Lonchura striata: one gene and its partner. The protein of the gene in region 2 purifies or fractionates together with the protein of the main gene of each other region. This does not show direct contact. Links are inferred from orthologs where the notes say so. Each region holds a gene or a part of one and is shown on either strand. Other genes may lie near its edges.

Evidence for each region.
Region 1: the proteins of PPP2CB (region 2) and PPP2R3B purify together in Homo sapiens (affinity purification with mass spectrometry; 3 studies listed by BioGRID and IntAct, counting the BioPlex papers as one, with this or other methods). This does not show direct contact. The link is inferred for Lonchura striata from reciprocal best matches to the Homo sapiens genes PPP2CB and PPP2R3B.

The regions. Positions count from the first base shown.
Region 1 is NC_134604.1:83,951,247-83,961,483, reverse strand, and holds the start of PPP2R3B (serine/threonine-protein phosphatase 2A regulatory subunit B'' subunit beta), read right to left. Parts: upstream 4,077-10,237; 5' UTR 4,019-4,076; intron 1,976-4,018; 5' UTR 1,961-1,975; coding exon 1,613-1,960; intron 1-1,612. UniProt on the Homo sapiens protein: The B regulatory subunit might modulate substrate selectivity and catalytic activity, and might also direct the localization of the catalytic enzyme to a particular subcellular compartment.
Region 2 is NC_134606.1:72,151,472-72,161,809, reverse strand, and holds the start of PPP2CB (serine/threonine-protein phosphatase 2A catalytic subunit beta isoform), read right to left. Parts: upstream 4,866-10,338; 5' UTR 4,781-4,865; coding exon 4,679-4,780; intron 356-4,678; coding exon 146-355; intron 1-145.

The DNA.
Region 1 (10,237 bases), on a different chromosome or scaffold from region 2:
TAAATTTCTCACTGCTTGGAAATTCTCCCTCCCCAATCTACTCAAGCAACCAACAACCAACCCCTCTAGGTTCTCTCTCAGCACTATACAAACAATTCCAGTTAAGTCAAGGATGTTACCCTTCATTAATCTCTTCTAGTTCTTCTTTATGGGATTTACTTCAAGCAGTCAACCAAGACACATGAAGAGAAATTACAGTACACAAGTTAGCGATCAAGTATAGTAAATAACAGTGGGTTTTCACAGAAACTCTTCCTTTGCTTGCTTTTATCTGATACAAGAATAAACTGAGCAGCTGCTGACTGGCTTTCTGCATTTCATTAGAACAGGAAATATAACAGTGTGAACAACAACAAAAAAGTAAATCAATCACCATGCCCTGCTGTCTGGCTGGTAATTAAACATAAACACAAGTTGCTATTATTGTAAAGTCAATCAGCTGGCCAGCAGGGCATGGTTGGTGATTCTGCCCCTCTACTTTGCTCTGGTGAGACCCCAGCTGGAGTGCTGTACCCAGCTCTGGGGTCCTCAGCATAAGAAGGACGTGGATCTGCAGGAGCTAGTCCAGAGGAAGGTCACAGAGATGACAGAGGGTTGCAGTATCTTGCCAAAAAAGACAGGCTGAGAGAGTTGGGGTTGTTCCACCTAGAGAATAAAAGGCTCTGGGGAGAACTTAGAGCAGCCTTCCAGTAATTAAAGGGGACCAACAAGAGAGCTGGAGAGGGACTTTGTACAAGGGCATGTAGTGACAGGACAGGGGGAAAGGGCTTTAAACTGAAAGACTAAGTTTAGATCAAATTATTCAAATTCTTTACTGTGAGGATGGTGAGACACTGAAACAGGTTGCCTAGAGAAGCTGTGCATCTCCCATCCATGGGAGTATTCAAAGCCAGGTAGGATGGGGCTTTGTGCAACCTGGTCTAATGGAAGGTGTCCCTGTCTGCGGCAGGGTGGTTGGAACTAGATGGTATGGAAGGTCCCTTGCAGTCCAAACCATTCTATAATTCTATATTCATTGATCATTCATAAGCAACACTTTGTCAATCATGACAACATTTTCTATCCAGTTTTGTTTTTATAATTTATGAAAAGCACTAGAAACTAGATTGAACTGAATTGCAAGATTAAAAAGAATATTTCAGGTTGGGGGCAGGGTTGTTATCCTTGCAGAGAGGGCATTGTCTGTTCTAAATAAAGAGCTCATTAGGAAGGAAGTGCTGAGTGTACCATGCAGTACCAAAACAATTACTTTGTTAATATGCAAATCCAGTGAAGCCAAATTTGAGTCTTGTACTAACAACAGTGCCTGGTATCATTAGACAAAAGAATATTTGCAGTCAAGGCAATATGTTATAAAACGAACACAAACACAGGACTTAAATTCATCCACAATTAGATAGCAAGGACCCAAGATAATCTTATGGAATCTCTGGCCACCTATCCACTAACACTAATGACATACAAACATTGGTATTTTAAGTTCAGTGCAGCTGCTTCAGTCCACTCCTGATACCTCCTCTGGGGAAACTATTTACTTACACAATTTGCCAATACCACAAACACAAAAGTCAGTTCCATTTAAACAAATAAATCTAATAAGAAACAAACTTACTTCTTTGGTCCCTGAGGATCGATGTGTTGCTCTAACATTAGAAATGTTCCTTGAGCTAGCTGGAGTCGCCAATGGAAGAGTAGTAGAAAGCTGAGGAGGACTCAAAGACATCAAAGGCAACCTGGTATTTCCTAATATGCACTGCTTGGAACTGGAATTTTTACTGGTGAAGCTCTCATTTTTACTGTTTCCTAAATCTGCATTACCAAACTCTGTTTTCTCCTTATTCTTGATTCTTCTCAAGCAGTCCTTCAGTATTAGCTGAGTTGCAGGCTGACTCAACCAGCACAAAAAGAGTTCATCCACCTTCATTTTCACTGCAGGTTGCAGAACTTTTCCAGGTGACATTTTCTGCCAGTTCTCCTGTTTTGTTGGTTCAAATTCAAAGTAAATATTTGACAATCATATAAATATTCCATTCACCTTTCAGTGTTTCACAGGCATTATTTAACAAAATGTTAATATTTATTCCTTCAAGGTATCAACAAAAGTTGAGAATTATATTTTAACATGTGACTTCAACAACATTTTATAAGTGTAAGCCAAAAATCAGAGTCAATTCCAACAAAACAATTTCTTTTAAATAATGGATAACTTCTTTTAAAAGCATACTATGTAAACGGTGGAGACTAGAGACCAAGAAACTGCACTTGGGCTTTCTGAAAGAGATAGCTAACAAATATTACAAATATCCTCTAAGAATATGTGTTAAAAACATATGTATTATGAAAAATAAGACTTGAAAATGCTTATAATTGAACATACTAAGAAGTAAATATCTAAGCAGTTCATGCTAAACCCTGGTGATAGAACAAATAAGATTTAATAAGCAAGTCTTTCAGTCAAGAGATTTAGAACTAAGACTGAAGGCTCAGCTTCCATTCTGAGGTTGTGACAGGGACTTAAAATCTTGCATCCCCTCATGTGAGTGATTCCCAAAGCTCTGTAATTTGGTATTTTAAAAACGTCCTATTTGACACTCACTTTTGCAGTTTTTCAAAACTAATGTAAAATCCAATGTAGCTCAAGAATTATGACAGTGTGATTTCAGGTTCAGTTACTCACCTGAAACAAACAGATTTTTAGTAGTTTTTTGGCAGGTTTTTTCTTTTTTTTTTTGGTGTTAAAAAGACAGAGGACTGGAATGAAACACTGAGAATAAACCAAAGTTACCATAAAGATTTTCAGCATCCATTTACTTAATGATTTGGTACAGTTCAAATGAAAATATATCCTTCCTCATGTTTGTGGTTTTTTTAAAAGCCCTTCACAGAATTTGATCTATATGCATAAATCATATAATAAAATATATATGATTGATGATCTTAGATATCTCTTCCAACCTAAATGATTCTATATACAAATACTTGGCCAAACAAGCTTTAAAACAAGCACTTCAATTTGGAAATGAGTAACAGTGTGAAAAATGCATACTTTATGATTGGCTTATCACAAATATTAAAATGAATATTATATGTGTAATGTTAGAAAGTTATGCTGCATTAATTTTCTCAAATAGTGTGTTAAATATAGTTTTAGGTTATAACATAAGGTTAAAATAAAAACTATGTATGTGGGGTTTCTTTAAAGGAATGAGATACTCGCTTCAAGATAACAGTCCCAGAACACCTAAATCTTCCAGAGAAGAGGAATTTATGATTCTCCTATCAGAAGAAGTTAATTTCTTCAGGCCTTCCTCAGACTCGAAGATGCTGTGAGGATTAAAGGAAACAGTTGACATATAATAGACAGTTTCTTGTTTTAAATAGAATGTATGCATAACCATGAAGTATATATAAATATGCAATAGTGTATTGTTTTAAGTGTGATTCCTTTTTTCACATGGTATGCTTTTCGTGACTTAGTGTCTGAGAGCATCCGGACGTCCGTAATTATCTGCTTTGTATTGTCTTGTAATTGTCCTAACTCTAAATTTTTATTACTCTAATTGTATTACTATTTTTATAACCATTTTATTATTATTAAACTTTTAAAATTTTAAAACCCAAGTGATTGGCGTTTTTCACACCTAGCAAGCGAACATCCTACTAAAACCTAAAGCTCATCCTCGTCCCACGGAAGAACTAGAAGCCTTTTAACACTACTACACCACCTAAACTTTCCAAACCGCTGTAACTTCTCAGTTGAGTTATTCTCTTTCTGCCAATGAAGTCCACCTCGTTTCCTTAGTTTTTTAAGCTCAACACCTTCACGGCACTGGCGGCTGCGCTCAGCCATCCTTAAGCGCCATTCGCCTGGAAAGAAACGGTCCTGGGGAAGGGCCAGCCCGGCGCTGCGGCCACAGGCTCGCTCCCCTGGGGCGAGCCCCGCACTTCGCCTTGCGGCAGCGGCGCGGCGGCAGCTCAGGAGCGACGTGGCTCCACACCAGGAGACAGCCACACTCACCTTCCCCGTTCCGCCTCCGCCGCCGCCCCTTCCCGCCGCCGCCGCCTTCAAACGCGCGCCTCCTTCCGGCCCGGCCCGGCCCGGCCCGGCCGCCGCCATCTCGCGAGAGCGCGGCCCTTCCGCCCCGCGGGACGCGGCCGCCGGTCGCCATGGCAACGGGCCGCTCAGGGCCGCCGGCGCGGCGCGGCGCGGCGCGGCGCTGCCCTTCCCTTCCCTTCCCTTCCATTCCCTTCCCTTCCCTTCCCTTCCCTTCCCTTCCCTTCCCTTCCCTTCCCTTCCCTTCCCTTCCCTTCCCTTCCCTTCCCTTCCCTTCCCTTCCCTTCCCTTCCCTTCCCTTCCCTTCCCTTCCTGCCCTGCCCTGCCCTGCCCTGCCCTGCCCTGCCCTGCCCTGTGCGCAGTTTACAGCTCTGACGAGGTCTCGGCGTCTCACTGCCTCTCTGAGAGGAGCCGGCAAAGTGATGAAGGGGCAGAGTGTCTCCTCAACAAGGTTGCTGATGACACGAAGCCCTTCAGAAAGACCTCGACAGAAAAAAAGGGTCAGAGAACTGTGGAATTCAAAGGCAAATGCAGAGCCCTGCACCTTGGGAGGAATAACCCTGGCACCAGCTGAGGCTGGGAATGACCTGCCGGGGAGCAGCTCTGCTGAGAAGGACCTGGGGGTCCTGGTGGACAACAAGCTGTCCCTGAGCCAGCAGTGTGTCCTTGGGGACAAAGCCAGTGGTATCCAGGGATGCATAAAGAAGAGCACTGCCAGCAGGTCAAGGGAGGTGATCCCGCTCCTCTCCTCAGCCCTGGTGAGGTCCCATCTGGAGTGTCCAGTTCGGGGCTCCCAACCCAAGAGACGTGAAGCTCCTAGAGAGAGTCCAGCAGAAGATGACAAAGAGAATAAGGGACAGGAGCATCTCTGTTAAGAGGAAAGGCAGAGGGAGCTGGGTCTGTTCAGCCTCAAGAAGACATGATTAGGAGAGGACCTTTTTAATGTGTATAAATATCCAAAGTGGGGGTGCTGAGGAGATGGGTCCAAACACTTCTTGGTGGTGCCAACCACTAGTACATGAGGCAAGGGTCAAAAACTGATGCACAGGAAGCTCCACCTGAATGTGAGGGAGAATGTCTTTACTGTGCAGGTAACCACACATGCTGGAACGGATTGCCCAGATTGCCCAGACAGGTTGTAGAGTCTCCCTCATGGAAGATGTACAAGAACCATCTGGATGCACTTCTGTGCCATGTGCTCTAGGATGACCCTGGATCGGATGACCCACTGTAATCCATTCCACACAATTTACCCATTCTGTGGTTCTGTGAAAGTGAGCTTGTTCCATCTGCTAAATGCTGTTAAAAGGAGAACACTAAATGCTCTTTCTACAGAATGGCTATGGTTACCACTAGTGTTACAGGATTGTAAATGATAGGATGAAAGAGGAGGTGGAGGCAGTAACAAATAGAAGGATAATCCTCTTACTAAGAGAATGATGTGCGCCAATCTGTTTGCAGCCCCTTTTTTGTACTGGAAAACATACACTGGGATTTTGTGGTTGTCAGCTTTCAGGGGCACCCCTTTGAGTCTCCCTGGGTGCATTTATCAGTGGGGTTTAGGTGGTTGTCTGTTGGCCCATATAGTTTTTTTCCTTTGGTATTTTTTACATCAGTGACTCATTGGTATATTTACATCACATTCCCTATTTCCACTGCACTGAGTTTTCCTCATATGGCTACACTTCACTTTTGTTAATCCATTTTACATTCTGCCAATTCCTTTACCAGCAGAGACACTACAGATTTATGGCAGGTTATTATTACAAATTGTTGGAACATTAATGTTGTGGAAATGGGGCTGTACTGAACCGAAGATGATACAGTAGTTTGAAGGGAAGGCTTGAAAATGCAAGTAAGAATAAAATGGGGTAAGTGAAGGAATGGGCTTGCTTTCTCATTTTTGGAAGCTTGTAGAAAAGATACAGAGATAAGAAAGGGCTGAGGAGAAACAAAAGCCAAGATGCTGTGAGAGAAATCTGGTACAGTCCAGCACAATTATGTTTGGGTAATACCAGAATGATATTTTGATAATAACAGTCATCTGGAAAAACCCAGTATTACTCTATCAGAAGGCTTTAGCTTCCAGCTGTAGACACTGAAATATATTTTCAATATATTTTCACAAATCTCAAAATGAGATTCTGCACTTAAAAAGACATTGAAAGTTCTTGAGGGAGTCTCCACTTTTTGAAGTAGGGGTAGTATTATGTTTCCTGCCCATTGGTTGGTGAAGTTAGAAAATATATTTTTGGAAAGCCACAGTGGACAAAATGGCATTTTTTAAACTGGAGTAAAACATTCAACATAACACAGCGGAAGCAGATGTCGAAGTACGGATAAATCTGTATATAATATGGAAGTAGCTTTTAAGTAGAGAAAAGAAATTTAAAACCCTATGTTATGGATAGCAGCAAGATTTTTGGCAGAGAACTGAAGGGCTGAATTATGAAGACTGATAGCAGAGCAAGAGACATGGAACAAAGAGGACTTTTAAAACATTTTGAATGCCTTTGAAGCATTCCTTAGTGATGGTGTAGCCATCTGTTGATTGACATGTTGAAGACAGGTGGGAAGAAGGGGATCAGAGACTGACTTGACAGAGTTGTAGAGTTGGATATCATCTGCAAAGAGATGATGCCCTTTGTTGAAACTGGCAATGAGATCTCCCAGAGGAACATGAGAAATAAGAAAAAAAGAAATTAAATAAACCCTCTGAGAGATGCACACAGTCATTGTGTTCTCTCATGCATGCTAGTGTAGATTCAAAGCATTTCTAGCTCTGACGTCATTAGAGTGTCACGGATAACACTGGTGTGAGAGAGGAATCAATTACATCTGCCTTCTGTTAAGAGGAAAACACTTTGGTCATCCTCACCAGATTGTACCAGAACTGGTAATTGAGACAGATGTTTTGAACTTGTGTCTGGATGAATCAGCTCTACTCAGCAGTGTGTCTACTGGTAGGGGTGTGTGTTTGTAGAGATACAGGGGCTCAAACTTGGGCAAAAGTGGAGAAATACCTAAATTGAACCTCTTTGTTCAGATCTTCCACCGAGAATTGAAACTTGAAATCCTTTTTGCTGCTATTTCCTTTTGTTTGCTTGACATGGTGACTACAGAAGCTGAACCTTTTTTACATTGCTTTCAATGTATGGAAAACAAAAATCTGTTCTAGGGTCTTACCATTTTAATGAAATGTATCCATATGGTTTAAGGATGGTCACCTTTAAAAATCCACTGAATAATTATTAAATATTAAAGTACTGAGCATGCAATATCTAACTGATACCTGAAAGTTTAGTGATGGAGTCACACTTAGCATTGCTGTAAAAGACACAGACTATGCTTTAGGTGAGGCACTTGTTTAATAAGTGCAGCAGAGTGGTGCATTGATGTAACTTGAGCCAATTAATAACAGGAGTGCTTGGGCCCAACAGCCCAGTGCAGTGGAGTTAGGATACCATACAGGTGTAGCACGGTACCTCCCTTCATGCTGTGTGTGGAGGTACTAACCCCAGTGCAGAAACTGAAGAGCCACATCCAGCTCTTGTTGGCTCTGCTGCCTACAGCTAATTTCTCATTTTGCTTCACTAGTATTGACTCAGCAAGTGTGATATTAGCAGTACTGTCAATATATGTTCCTGGCTAAATATCAAAGTCTTCCTTTGCCTTTATTTGTCACTGTGTACAGTGGCACAGGACAATGGTGTTCATAAGGAATATTTCCATTCCTTACCAGCATTTTGAAGTGAGAGCTGGGCTTCTTTCTGATAACCTAGGGTCTGTACAACTTAGACATACAGGTAATAAAGAGATGTCTCCAATCTCTCTGTGCTAAAGCAACATTTCTAAGGCCTGATAAATGTTATCCAGAGGTTGACATCTAACCTAGATCAGCTGTAACATGACTTAAAAGTGTTCCTCTCCACTACTTAATAAGAATCTCAATTAGAATTTGAGGTACATATAACTACATTTTAGAAATCTAAAATTAGATAGGATAAATGTGTTTGGAGAATTATATTTACTTGCTTGCACAGGGCTATGTCAGATGTACTCTCATCCCATCTCAAAAGCAGTTATCATCCTTAAACAGAGTGGCAGGTTGAGGTGGAACACGTCTGAGATCAAAATACAGTTCACTGCAGGATCTTTCTGACTCCTTATTCTGGAACATTTCATGTGCCTTTGTGCTGGTATATCTGGGCTTCACAGGGGTAGTATGAGCTTGCTTTGGATTTCTGTTGAATATGGGGTTGGTAATGGAGAAATGTTTTTGTCATTGCTGAGCAGGACTTACAGAGAGCCAAGGCCTTTTATGCTTTTCCTACTGCCAGGCTGATGAGCAGACTATGGATGCATGGGAGACTGTGAGCCAGGACAGCTGACCCCAACAGACCAAAGGGATATTCCAGACTATATGACATCATGATCAGTACATAAAGAGGGGAGAAGAAGGAGGAAGAGGGGGAATGTTTGTTGGAGTCATGATTCTTGTCTTCTCATGTCACTGTTCTGTATGATGAAGCCCTGCTCTCCTGGAGATGACTGAACATCTGCCTGCCCATAGAAGCAGTGAATTAATTTCATTGTTTTGTTTTGCTTGCGTGCATAGCTTTTGCCTTTCTTCTTAAACTGTGTTTATCTCAACCCATGAGTTTCACACTTTTACCTTTCCAATTCCCTCCCTGATCCTGCTGGTGGGGGAGTGAGTGAGCAGCTGTGTAGTATTTGGTTGATGACTGCGGTTAAACTATGATAGCCTGTCACTCAGAGAAGAGAACTACAGTACCGCTTTTGAATGCTGCTTTAAGGACATTATTGCATTTTGATTTGGCTTTTACTTTTATAATTCTTTTATAATCCTTTTGCTGACATAGTTCACAACTTTGAAATTTAGGCATGTGAAGTCCAGTTCTAACCTGTATATAGGTACTAAAATAACTATGTCTTGATTTCCGGATGTGCTAACTTAGTTGGAAGCAGGTGTGCTGAATATCTCTGACAAACCAGTCACTTTTATTTAAGTTGTTGTTATTGGAAATTTTAGCCAGATGGGTTCATTGAGGTTCCTTGTAAACCTGCTTATGGTATGCAGTCAAGGAGACTTCAGGGGAGTGTATATGTTACTTTCCATCAAGTGAAGGATAAAGTCTAATGTACTGTCACTCAGATTCCTAGTCCTGGTAGTAATTTGGGGGAATTAAGAGGATTTTACATGCCTTATGCTGCATCAATTAAAATGAAGATAAATATTAAGAAAACGGTAGTAACTGGTAATCCACTGAACTATGTACCCATACCAGCTAACCATACCACTCCATGCTTTCTTCTGGCAGCTTACCAAAAATAGAGCTGGAATGGTGAACTGTAGGTCATATGGCCTCCAGAAGTAGCATCATAAGCAGGCAAAGATATGTCAGCAATGCTGACTTGGTGCACATGTTTGGCAGCAAGCAATGCTCTCTGAAGAGCCTAATACTGGGATCTGAGGCTTGAATTTTCTCTGTCTCCTACCACCTTGAGGTAGAATACTGCAGTAATATAGGATCTGATTGTGCTGGTGCACAACTCCTTTAAGAGCAAATAAGAGATATAATTACAAATTCTTTTGTAACCTGCCAGCTTTCATTGTGAGTAGAGGCATTTAAATGTTCTGTACTTGCAGACACATTTTGTTTCCTCCTTATCATATGCACCATGTAGTTAGAATAAGGCCTTGTCCCTGGCTCTCTCCTTACCTGAGCAGTTGGTTTAATGCAGGAATATTACATCTCTGCAAGAAAAAAAAGAGTATGAAATGTTGATTCTGTAAGAGCAGGTGCACTACAAGCCAAACAAAAAAATTTATTCAGCAGTTGTTTGCATTATGTTTTTAGATTAATTCCTACTGCATATCACTGTAGAGCTCTAGCAATGAGCAGTTCTTATGCATTTTACTGAATTACTGTTGGTGTGTTGGTTTTTTTCCATGGGGGCCTTGGACTGAGCAATGTTTACAGCAGTCCAGATGTGAAGACTGGTTCTGCATTAAGTCACCCTGATCTTCTAATCCCAGGTTCACATACTTCTAGTGCTGCATTTTATCCGATGGTTTTATCTAGCATTGTATCCAGGTCACATGGAGTTTATGGAAACCTGCTTGAAATGCAGTCTCTGGGGTGGTGTTTAACAAGGTGT
Region 2 (10,338 bases):
ACAGCAGCCAGGCACTCTGCTCCCAGCACGTGTCTGCTGACACGGATCCATTTACACCCGTTATGCCCGAGCCAACGGCAGCCTCACCGGGAGGAGAAAACGGCTCCCAGCTCCCAGGTTTCATCCCCAGTCCCCCAAGCCGTACCTTCAACGCCACCAGGAGAGTCACTGTCTCCACAGAGTAATAGCCTCTGTCCACATAGTCTCCCATGAACAGGTAGTTTGTGTCTGGAGACTTCCCACCAATCCTGAAGAGCTCCATAAGGTCGTGGAACTGCCCGTGGACATCCCCGCAGACAGTGACGGGGCAGCGCACCTCTTGCACATTTGATTCCTTTGTAAGGATTTCTTTAGCCTGGCAAGGAAAGCATGTTTAGGGCAACAAGGTAGGAAGCTCCTCCAGAAGCTGGTGATATTATTCTGCTGCATTCCCACTGGAAACCCAGTTTCATCCCCGCTGCTCAAGCCAACCACTGGAAAAAGTTTGGTGAGCACAGACAAGGGGTGTTTCCCAAATCCCAGTGCACGGGGATGAACAGGCCATCCTTTACTACAGCAAGGCCAGATGCCCTTGCCCGGGGTACATTTTGCCCAACAGAATTCCAATCCTCTTCCCAGCACAACAGTTCAGCAACTTCTACGGGCTAGTCACTTACAACTGGAAAGCAGAGACAGAGGCAGTTGGAACATATGGAGCCACAACCAGCTTCCCTGGCTGTGCCCAGCTGGCAACAAAACAACTACAGATGGAGGGATGGCATCCCTGGATTTAGTCATCTCTTCTCCCACACCCAGCAGTTCCTCTGCTAATTACAACCATGCAATGTAGCCTATCTGCACCACCTTATTATCCTTATCAAATACCAGGTTTGTTGTGCTGCCTGCAGCTCACTGACTGATGCTGAACAGCGCTCCTGGCACATCTGAGGCACAGGGAACACCCACAGGATGGCTCCATCTGATCCAAACAAAAGGGCTGGAAGATCACCAACACTGAGCAATCACCAGCAGGTGATGATCTGGGTATTCCCTGCCATATCCCTTAGCTCAGGATGAGCTAAGGCTCACCCTGTGCTGCCAGAAGGGAACCGCTTCCAAATGATACCCTCTGTGGGCTTCCTGAGGATGCCTGAGTTTCCATTCCAGTGCTTGCTGCCTTGCCTCTTTTAGGTAGAACATGTATTTGGAAGGAGTAACTACACCCCAAGCAGTTTGGACTGCATCCAGCATGCTCTCTGCACAGAACCTAACTTGACGGATCCTTAAAGTCACATCCTGCCCATGGATTTGACGAGTTGGGCTCTGCCTTGCACTTCTGGCATGACTGGGAACTGCTGAACATGTTGTATTTGAGTGCAGTAGTAGCACTCAAATTCTGCTTGCACGTCTTTAAAAGCATTTATAGTGCCTTCTGAGAGCTTCCACCCTCTGGGAGAGACAAATATAAACCCACAAAACAGCTGCTCCGTGTGTTCTGGCTGTTGCACAAAGCAACAGGCAGGGGTTTGTTCCAAGCTGGAGCTCAGCAGTGCTCCTTTTCCACAGGAACAGGGCAAATGGGCTCACTTTAAACCTACCCTAGGAATGGGGGACAGCCCACGACCTGAAACGTTGGTGCTAGGAGAATCCAAAAGTTTCCCCTGATGAGGAAGGAGGAGCTGGCAGGTGACAGGAGCGGCTCCTTCCGCTGCCAAGCAGCTGTTCCCCTGCAGCCCATTTTAGCTCATGCTGTGGACAGTCGTCGGTGCACGTGGACAGATCCAGGCTGTCATTTGAACTCTGCCGAGCCAGTTTACATCAGGGTCGGGAGCCCCAGTTTGCCCTCACATGATGATCTTCTCATGCAGAACAAGGCTTGCAAAATGCTCAGCATCGATAAAAACACCCCAGAAAAGCAGTGACTAACCAGCGCATCTGCCTGCAGCGTGAACATTGAAATCAAATTACTTAAAATAAAAAGCACTATTACAAAGCAAAAATAAAAACCTCTGATGCAAGCAGGCTGCCTGGCATCATCAGCACTTACTTAATCCAGGAGGCTAATAAATAACTATGACTTAGAAGTCAAAATTTAGCTACCTTTGTTGCAGAAAACAGTGACTAATGGTATCAGCCTCCTGTGCATCTGTCCCACTTGTGCTGGATGAAAACCATATCCAGGTCAGGACAAAAAAGCAGCAGTCTTTAGGTGTTTTTGTTAAATAAAACTCCCTTGCATTAAGTAAACTGAACCAATGGTTGTCTGTCTGTGCTCAACTCCTGGTGTGTTTCTGAAGAGCCTCAGAGAGAGAAGAAACTCCATTCCTTCAGGAAAACTGATTCCCTCAGCTTGATCTGACCCATAGAGGCTCGTTCTCTGGGAACCTGAAGCCAGGCGTGGAGTTGGGGATCCAAATTCACCTGAACCTTCATCCCACCAATGGCCACAGACCAAACTACTGTACCAACAAGTGGGCTGAGGCTATGAACCTCAGGGAGCTTGGCTGGAATGCCAACCAGCCAAGTGAGATGGAAGCCAGAGGGATGGCAGGGATGGAGCTGTCTCACCCTTCAGGAATGAGGCACCCAGAGCCTCTGCTAAGGTGCTCCCTGATCCAGCACCCCCCGGGATGAACATCACCAACAGAGTGATAAAACACTGCCAGCCATGACACAACACAGGGAATCTCCTGTGTCCCCTCTCACACCTCCAAGGAACCAGGAGAGGAAAGATAAGCTGCAAGGAGAGGGATGGTCATGGATGGCTGCTTGTTTAATTCAGGAGGCAGCCTTTTCCTGCCTTCTTCCATTGCCCATTTGATCATCTTGGTGAAGAACCCTTTTGCCTGGATTAAGCAGGGTGGCTCTCAACTCCCTCACCTGCACCCCAAACGTGGAAGCTTGAACAGTGACCAGAATTAATCCTTCTATCAGCCTCTGAATTTCTGTAGGATTTGAGCTAATTTCCCTTTTAAACACCAAGAGAATGGGAACAAGGTTATCACGTTGAGGAACAGCACCTCCCTCACCTGCAGGAGCCACAGGGGGCTGATCAGCTGCCTAATGAGCTTGCCACTGGGCAGGTGAGGACAGAATGTCACTGCCACAGCTGCAAATTTCAACAACTTTTACGAGTGCACAATCACTGGGCACACCTTCATTGTGTCCAATCCTCCCCTCAGCACTGCCCTCTACGCCACTACCTAAAACCAAAAATGATCCACACAGATAGCTCTGGGATTTCATTGTGGTTTTTTTGTTTTGTTTTCTTTTCTTTTTTCCCTTCATTTTGATTTTTTGTTTTAGGACTGAGTTCTTCCACAACTTGAAACCTGAGGCAAAAGGTACTACTGTCCTGAGTGTCTCTGAAATCAGCCCCAAAAACAAGAGTGTTACAAAGTGTTCTGGAGAAGAGGATTCCTCCAAATATAATTTCAAGGAAACCAACTAAACCAGCTTTGTGGCAGGGCTGCACACCCAGAGTTTTTTGTAAGCTCCTCTCCTGGGTGACACAACCACTCCCCAAAACTTAAACAAGCCAAGTCAGTGCAGGGCACAGTGTTTCCTTCATGCCCCAGCCGTTTCCCTCCGTTTCCAGCAGCCTGGAAGAACGAGGTGCTGTGACAGATGACACACCTCCCTGTCACCTGCTTCCTGAAGGACAAACACCCTCCCCACCTACAGCTGAGCTCTCCTGTCAGCCTTCAGCTTCCCAAAATACAGCAGCCACAATTCCAGCGTCCTAAAGAGCCACAGCTCCCTCATAACTGATGGAGCTCTGGAGAAAAGAGGCACAAAACAAACGGATGGCTCCAGCACAGGACTGAGAAAACAAAAAGGAAGAAACCAGAAAATGTGTGTGGGGGGGGGTGGTTAGGGAGTGTCAGGATCACTGTTGGAAGAACGTGCCAAGGAAAATCTTCCCTTGGTCACAGACTGCAGTGCTAAGGGAGTGCTCACAAACTGCTACTGGACTGCTCAGACAACACCTAGCACAAGTCTAAGGACCTTTCCCCCGATGGGAAAAAAAGGTTTTTCCCAGTGCCCACTAAACAAATCCAAGCACGCGTTTGCCAAGGCCTGTCCATACCGCAGCCCAGAACAGCAGACAGTGTCCTTTATCCGACCATTCCTCTTTCTATTTTGGTCGCCTCAGCAGGCTGCGAGCCTGTTTGCGGCTCACCTCTGCTTCCCGAGATCCCACCTCGGAAGTCAGTGGGCTTCCTCACTGACTCGGGGTTGATTTTCCAGCGCCTGGCTCCTCCACGTTGTGTAGGACACCAGGACATCGGATACTCCAGGGCCACCACCCCGGTGTCCCAGCGCGGGACGCTCCAGAGGGAGCGCCCCGGCCACCCCACGTCCACTCTGACAGACACCATCCCAAAGATCCAATGGCGGATATCCCACAGGCGCCATCCCGCTCTCCCAAAACCCACAGGCACCAGCCGCTTTCCCAGTGCCAACACCCCACAAGCACCGCCCGCTTTCCCAGCGCCCGACATCCCAGCAGCCGCATCCCTGCCTCCCAAAACTCGCTGTCCCGCAGGCACCACCCCGCTCTCTCCACGCCCGGTATTCCACAGGCACCACCCCGCCCCCCAGAGCCCGGTATCCCCCCGGCCACAAGCCGGTCTCCCAACGCCGGACACACCGCGGGCACCGTCCCGCCCTCCCAACGTCCGGGCCCCGCACTCACCTTCTCGCACAGGCTGCGGACCTGGCTCTCGCTCAGCTGCCGGCACTCGTTCAGCTGCTCGATCCACTGGTCCAGCTCCTTGGCGAAGCCCTTCTCCTCCATGGCGAGGGGGGCCGGGCGGGCCCCCCGAGGCCCGGGCCCGCCTGTGGGTGCCGGCGGCGGCCGGGGACGCGCGGCCCGCTCGGGGCTGCTCCGCTCCGCGTAATGGCGGCGCCCCCCGCCTGCCGCGGCTGCTGCGCACTTCCGGCCACGCCCACGGCCGCGCGCCGCCGCTTCCGGCGCGCGGAGTCGGCCTCAGAGCCCCGCCCCTCCCGCTGGCCCCGCCCCCGCCGTGGCCACGCCCCCTCCCGGCTCCGCTCGGCCGCGCTCGCCCCGCCGCAGGAAAAAGGAATAAACTGCTCCCTTCTCGCCGGGGAAAAAGGATTAAATCAAAGGTTTTGCGCCCGCTGTCGGAGTCGAGTCGCAAGCGTTGGTAGCAGGGCCCGGGAATGTGACAATCCCTGTCTGGCGCGGTATTAATTCCTTTCGCCATATTCCCGTGAAATACTGTGGAGCAGTAATCGCTACAGGAGCGCGTGTACGATGATGTACTAAATATGACACATGATTAGTGAATATAAGCAGTCAAAATGAATACATTTGCTACAGTCTGGCACTCATCTCGCCCTCAGCTTTAAACTGTGACAGACCTGCAGAAATCCCTCCTTGCTGCTCTTTATTTATATAATCTGCTTTGGACTCGTTCTGCTGTGTCCCCTGTACCCAAATGGAGCAGTAATATCGTGACAGAGATGCAGTAACTGAGGCTACGACACTGCCACAACCCGGAGTGCCCAGCCCAGGCAGAAAGGACTGGGATTGGAGGAGACCCCTGAGGGAAAACTTCCCTGGGATTTTTAGCAGGATAAAATAGATCAAGTCCACGTGGTGTGTTTTTTTCATGTCAGATGGGAAGGCTGAGGAGCTGCTCAGGCTGTCCGACCAGGAACACTCATGGCCATCACAGGTCCCTTAATCTCCTTTGGATAGAAGAGATGGACTTGAGGAATTCACCCTGAACTGAGGGAAGAAAATGAAAGGATTCACAACATTGTGTCCCTAAAGTGAATTTTCTAACCGAAAATACAGCTATAAAAAGTAAAAGAGAACAATTTACAAAAAACACAGCTTTGTAGCTACTGTTCTGGAGGACAATCGCTTGCCAGTCCAGTTCCCAGGAAAGATAGCTGCCAGGAACTGTTCATGCTCCTCTGGATGTTTTATTTGCTGATTGGTTTTCCAGAAGGTCATTTCTAACCATATTTTCCATGTTTGTGGCACTGCAGCAGAGCACGGCCATGGGATAAGGCAAATCCTGCCTCGTGGCATTGGACAATAAATCTTCCCAGCCCGGAGCATATGGGAGAGCAGCACCCCCAATAAAAATCATCCCTGGCTTGTCCAAAATGACCCAAAAAAGGGCATCCTGAGTCTCAGGAGGCCAGCCTTAAAACAAATGCTGAGTAGCTTTTATTCTGTCTTTCAGTTTCTGGAGGTTTCCCCATGATTTAATTTGAGGAAACAAAGCACGGACACATGGATGTGCACGCTTTGGTGCTAAGTTTCTATTTACTGATTCCTTGCCACCATTAAAATGTTTAATAGGCGACGCTTAAATGGAAAGATCCAGCTGAGATATTTCTCTTGGCTCCCGGTCAGGAATAAAGAGGTTTCTGAGGTATCGATCCGATGGCAGGTGCTCAGCAAAGCTCCAGCAAAATCTCACAGCCTGAGCCAGGACCTTCCTCAGAGCAACACGACGTGGTTTGCTGGAAAGAGGGAGCTCTTGGGATGAGCTGGGGATTTTCCTGCAAAGGAGTGGCAGGGACAGAGCCTGCGGAATCTCCCGGCAGCAGAGGGGGACATTCATCAGGCTCCCTGGCAGGGAAAACTGACAAGCCTCAGCGACAGGGAATTAATGAAGGCAGGATTTTCCACCACCTTCTCTAAAATCTCATCATCTCTCTGCTAGAACCTTCTAAAAAGGCAATGCTGGTGAAGTGGCATGAAAGGCTACTTTATTAAAAAACACATTACTGTTGGCTGTGTAACATTAAACCCCCCCATGGGGTACCTTGCTTTCTTATTCTTGTGACTTTTCCACTGAAACTCGGCTTTTTAGAGTGTGATACAAAACACAGGAGAAACAGAGGCAGAAAAAATTACTCATGGCCACCATTGCCTATGGAAGGCACTGCCTGGGCTTATCCACTGCTTCCCAAAGGGTGCTGGATTCCTGTGTTTTAGAGAGGGGAAAAAACCCACCCCCACAATGAATAAAATAAATCAGTAAAGTTCTTCCTTCTGCCAGCAGCTGAGGGAGCACAAACTCAGTGGGAGCTGCTCCAAGGGCACCTGACCCCCCCTGAGGGTGCAGAGGAGCCCCAGACCACCCAGGGGTATGAGGATAAGGATCCCTAAAAGACATTTTGGAGTGCAGGCACAGCATTTTTGCAGTGGATGGGAGGCAGACCTACCTGGCAGCAGCCTCCATGAAGCCTGGATTCTTTCTCCCAGCGTTTCCCCACAGGATTTGTCTCCCTCCTTCCCGTGGTGGCATCTATCACCATGGGCAGCACTGTGAGGAGCAGCAGGCAACATTACAACATCTTGATAAACTGGGAAAAAAAGCCAGGGAGAAGTCAGAGGGGAGGAAAGAGGCAAAGAGAGGGGGAATGATGCCAGGAGAAGGGAGATGAATCTCTGAAAATGGACTCTGTTGACGTAATGTATGCACAGGGATGGATTCCGAAAGAAAGGAGAGTGACCAAACCCTCACAAGAATCCTCCTGAAATGTCCCTCTCAGACACAGCTGCATCTTTTAGGGAATAAAAAATGTCCTCCTGTAGCAGCAGTCCAGAACAATTTTAATCCCCAAATAGCTGTTTTGGGGAGGGGGGGGGGAGGAACCTCAAAACCTGCAAACCTTGCAACAGGTTTTGTATGCAAACGCAGGCGAATCTGGAATATTTGCTTATTCCTTTTATTGAACCTGCAGGCTGATTTGATTACCTCCCTGGAAACGCGTGTGCAAATCGGTTTTCCAGCCTTTTGAGGGCACTGCCTTCCGCCGCGACGTCTCCAGTGAGTGATGCCAACGTCTGGCTAATGCGATGTGCAGGAAGAGCCGGCGTTGGATGCCGACGCCGATGCCCGGAGCTCTGGGCCGCTGGCGGCCATAAATCCCTCCATTCCCAAATGCAAACCGCTGCCGTCGGAAATGCCTCACCCTGAAAAAACGTGTCAGCAACAATTCAATGGCTCAAATGAGGCGGGCTGAGGCAGAGCCGTTCCTCTGCCACGCGCTTACCCGGATAGAAGGAGCCGATGATGGAAGACTGGGGGGGAAAAGGGCATCAAATTGAAAAGCCCCGGGGAGATGAATGGGAGATAACGGAGAGAAAAACATTTACAGGCTGAAATGATTCCCCCTCCTGGAAACATTTCCTTCTCGCCTCCCTGGGAAGTGCTCAAAGGAGAGCTGTGAGGCAGGCATCTCGGAGCAGGGGCAAATATGGTGGTAAGAATCCGAGCAGACAGTTAAGACTACACAAGTAAGCAAATTTATTTGAAGACAGAACAAATATCGTGGCAAACAACAATATGCAAATTCAGTTGAGAACAGGGGTAAATATCAGACTTTGTTTTCAAATCGATATAAAATATATTCAGATTTAATTTTGTCCAAAAAGCAGCTCGCATTGGGGTGGGGGGTTGGAGGGGATGGCCCTGTTCACGCCATCCAAAGTGTGTGTCACCTGGAAAACCTCAGGATTGGGAGGTGGCTCCTCTGCCAGCAGAGATGAGCCATGCTGGGAGGAGATGGAGGCGCCTTTGGGACTCTAAATTTCTACCTCCTTTTCTTCTTAAAAGCCAATTTTTGTCACAAAGCAAGGAGCTGATTCATCCCCTCCAAGACCCTCAGTGCCCACCCACCTATGTTTGGATTATGCAGTCATGAGGATCCCATCTGCTTTTTAGGGTTGGACATCTTTGAAGGCACCTGCACCTCCTCTTCCTCACTGGCTCCTGATGTATCAACCTCCAGCAGCTGAGCCTGAAAAGCCAGTGAGGGAGCAGCTCACCTCGGATGCCAGAGGAGTGAACAGGACGAAATCCCCTCCCGGGGCGAAGGTGCTGGCGGGCTGCTTTCTAGAAAAACCATCCCAAAATAAAAGCAGACATAGAAAACATTAGATTGTCAATGAGGCTTTGAAACAAATTCAAGTTTATCCTTAATTTTTCTCATATGTGTGTGTCTGTGTGTGTGTGTGTGTGTGTGAGACTTGATACAAACAGACGAGAAAGACGTGGTGAACTTCAAGCTGGGGACAGGCATGTGGTCAGTTAGAGTCCGCAGGAGCACCATCGGATACGGAGGAGTTAGCACCAGAGAGTTTGGAGGACCCAACTGAGCACATGCGTCCTTTGGGAATGGGCAGTGGGGACACATGGAACAGTCCATTAGAAACAATACAAGGCAATTCATGAGTTTTCATACAGTACAATACAGTCACTGATCAATTAACCCTTTCAGTACAGTACATGACAAGTAACACTTTGCACCCTGTTAGCACTAGGAAAGGAGGGTTTGGGCTGGAGAGGGGTGGCTGGTGAGCTGTCCCTTCTGCCCTTGGATTTCAGGGACTGTGGATGCTTCGGCCGCTTTCCCACCCCAGCTCGGACTGCCCGACCCCAGCCTGGCTCCCGCGGGGATGCGCTGGTGGAGCGCAATGCCACCAGTCCATCCACCCACAGCGAGGGCTGCACCCAAATCACAGAATCCTAGAATCCCAGAATGGAGGGGACCCCAAAGATCATCTCATTCCACCCTCCCTGCCATGGGCAGGGACGCCTTTCACCAGACCAAGCTGCAAAATGGTCCTGGTTTGACCACGGGGATGGAAGAGCCACTCCTCTCTGCCCTGTGCCAGCCACCAAACCAATGAGAAAACCTCCAATTCAAGCTCCACCTGGCCAGTTCTGGTGCCAAAACACACAGAAAAAGGTTCGGGGGCTGCATTCAGTCGGCCTCATGCCAAACCTGCTTCTTCCCTCAGGCGTAGTGAGAACAGGGTCCATTGGAAAAGTGCTAAATTACAGTACATTGGCATTTCCATATGTCAACTATTGAACAGCAAAACAGATTGTTTGAAAACAGAATCAGTATCGTACAGTAAGTTCACACTTAATTCTTCACCGTTTCTACACTTGTAACACATGCATTTTATTTCCATTAGTTTAATGCCAGTAGGACCAACATCCTCCAGAACAATGATCTAACATTAAACAAAACTTCCTAAGGAAAATATTAAGCATCACATAAAGTTTCAGGAAAAAACCTGTTAATTAGCATCACAAGGTACTCAGATTTACATTTAGGAGTTTTCATGCCATAACTTTAAAACACCTTTTGGTTAATATCCTGGGGGTAGGGGAAAACAACCCCAAAAAAACGCAAACAAAAAAAAAAAAAAAAAAGAAAGAAAAGATTTAAAAAAGGAATGTTTTGGAAAATAATATATTTCTCTATGTGTATACACACCCAGAGACAAGCACGAACACGCGGGCTGGTGCATGGGTGTGTGCACAATTTTGTTTTGATAAACTTGACTCATTT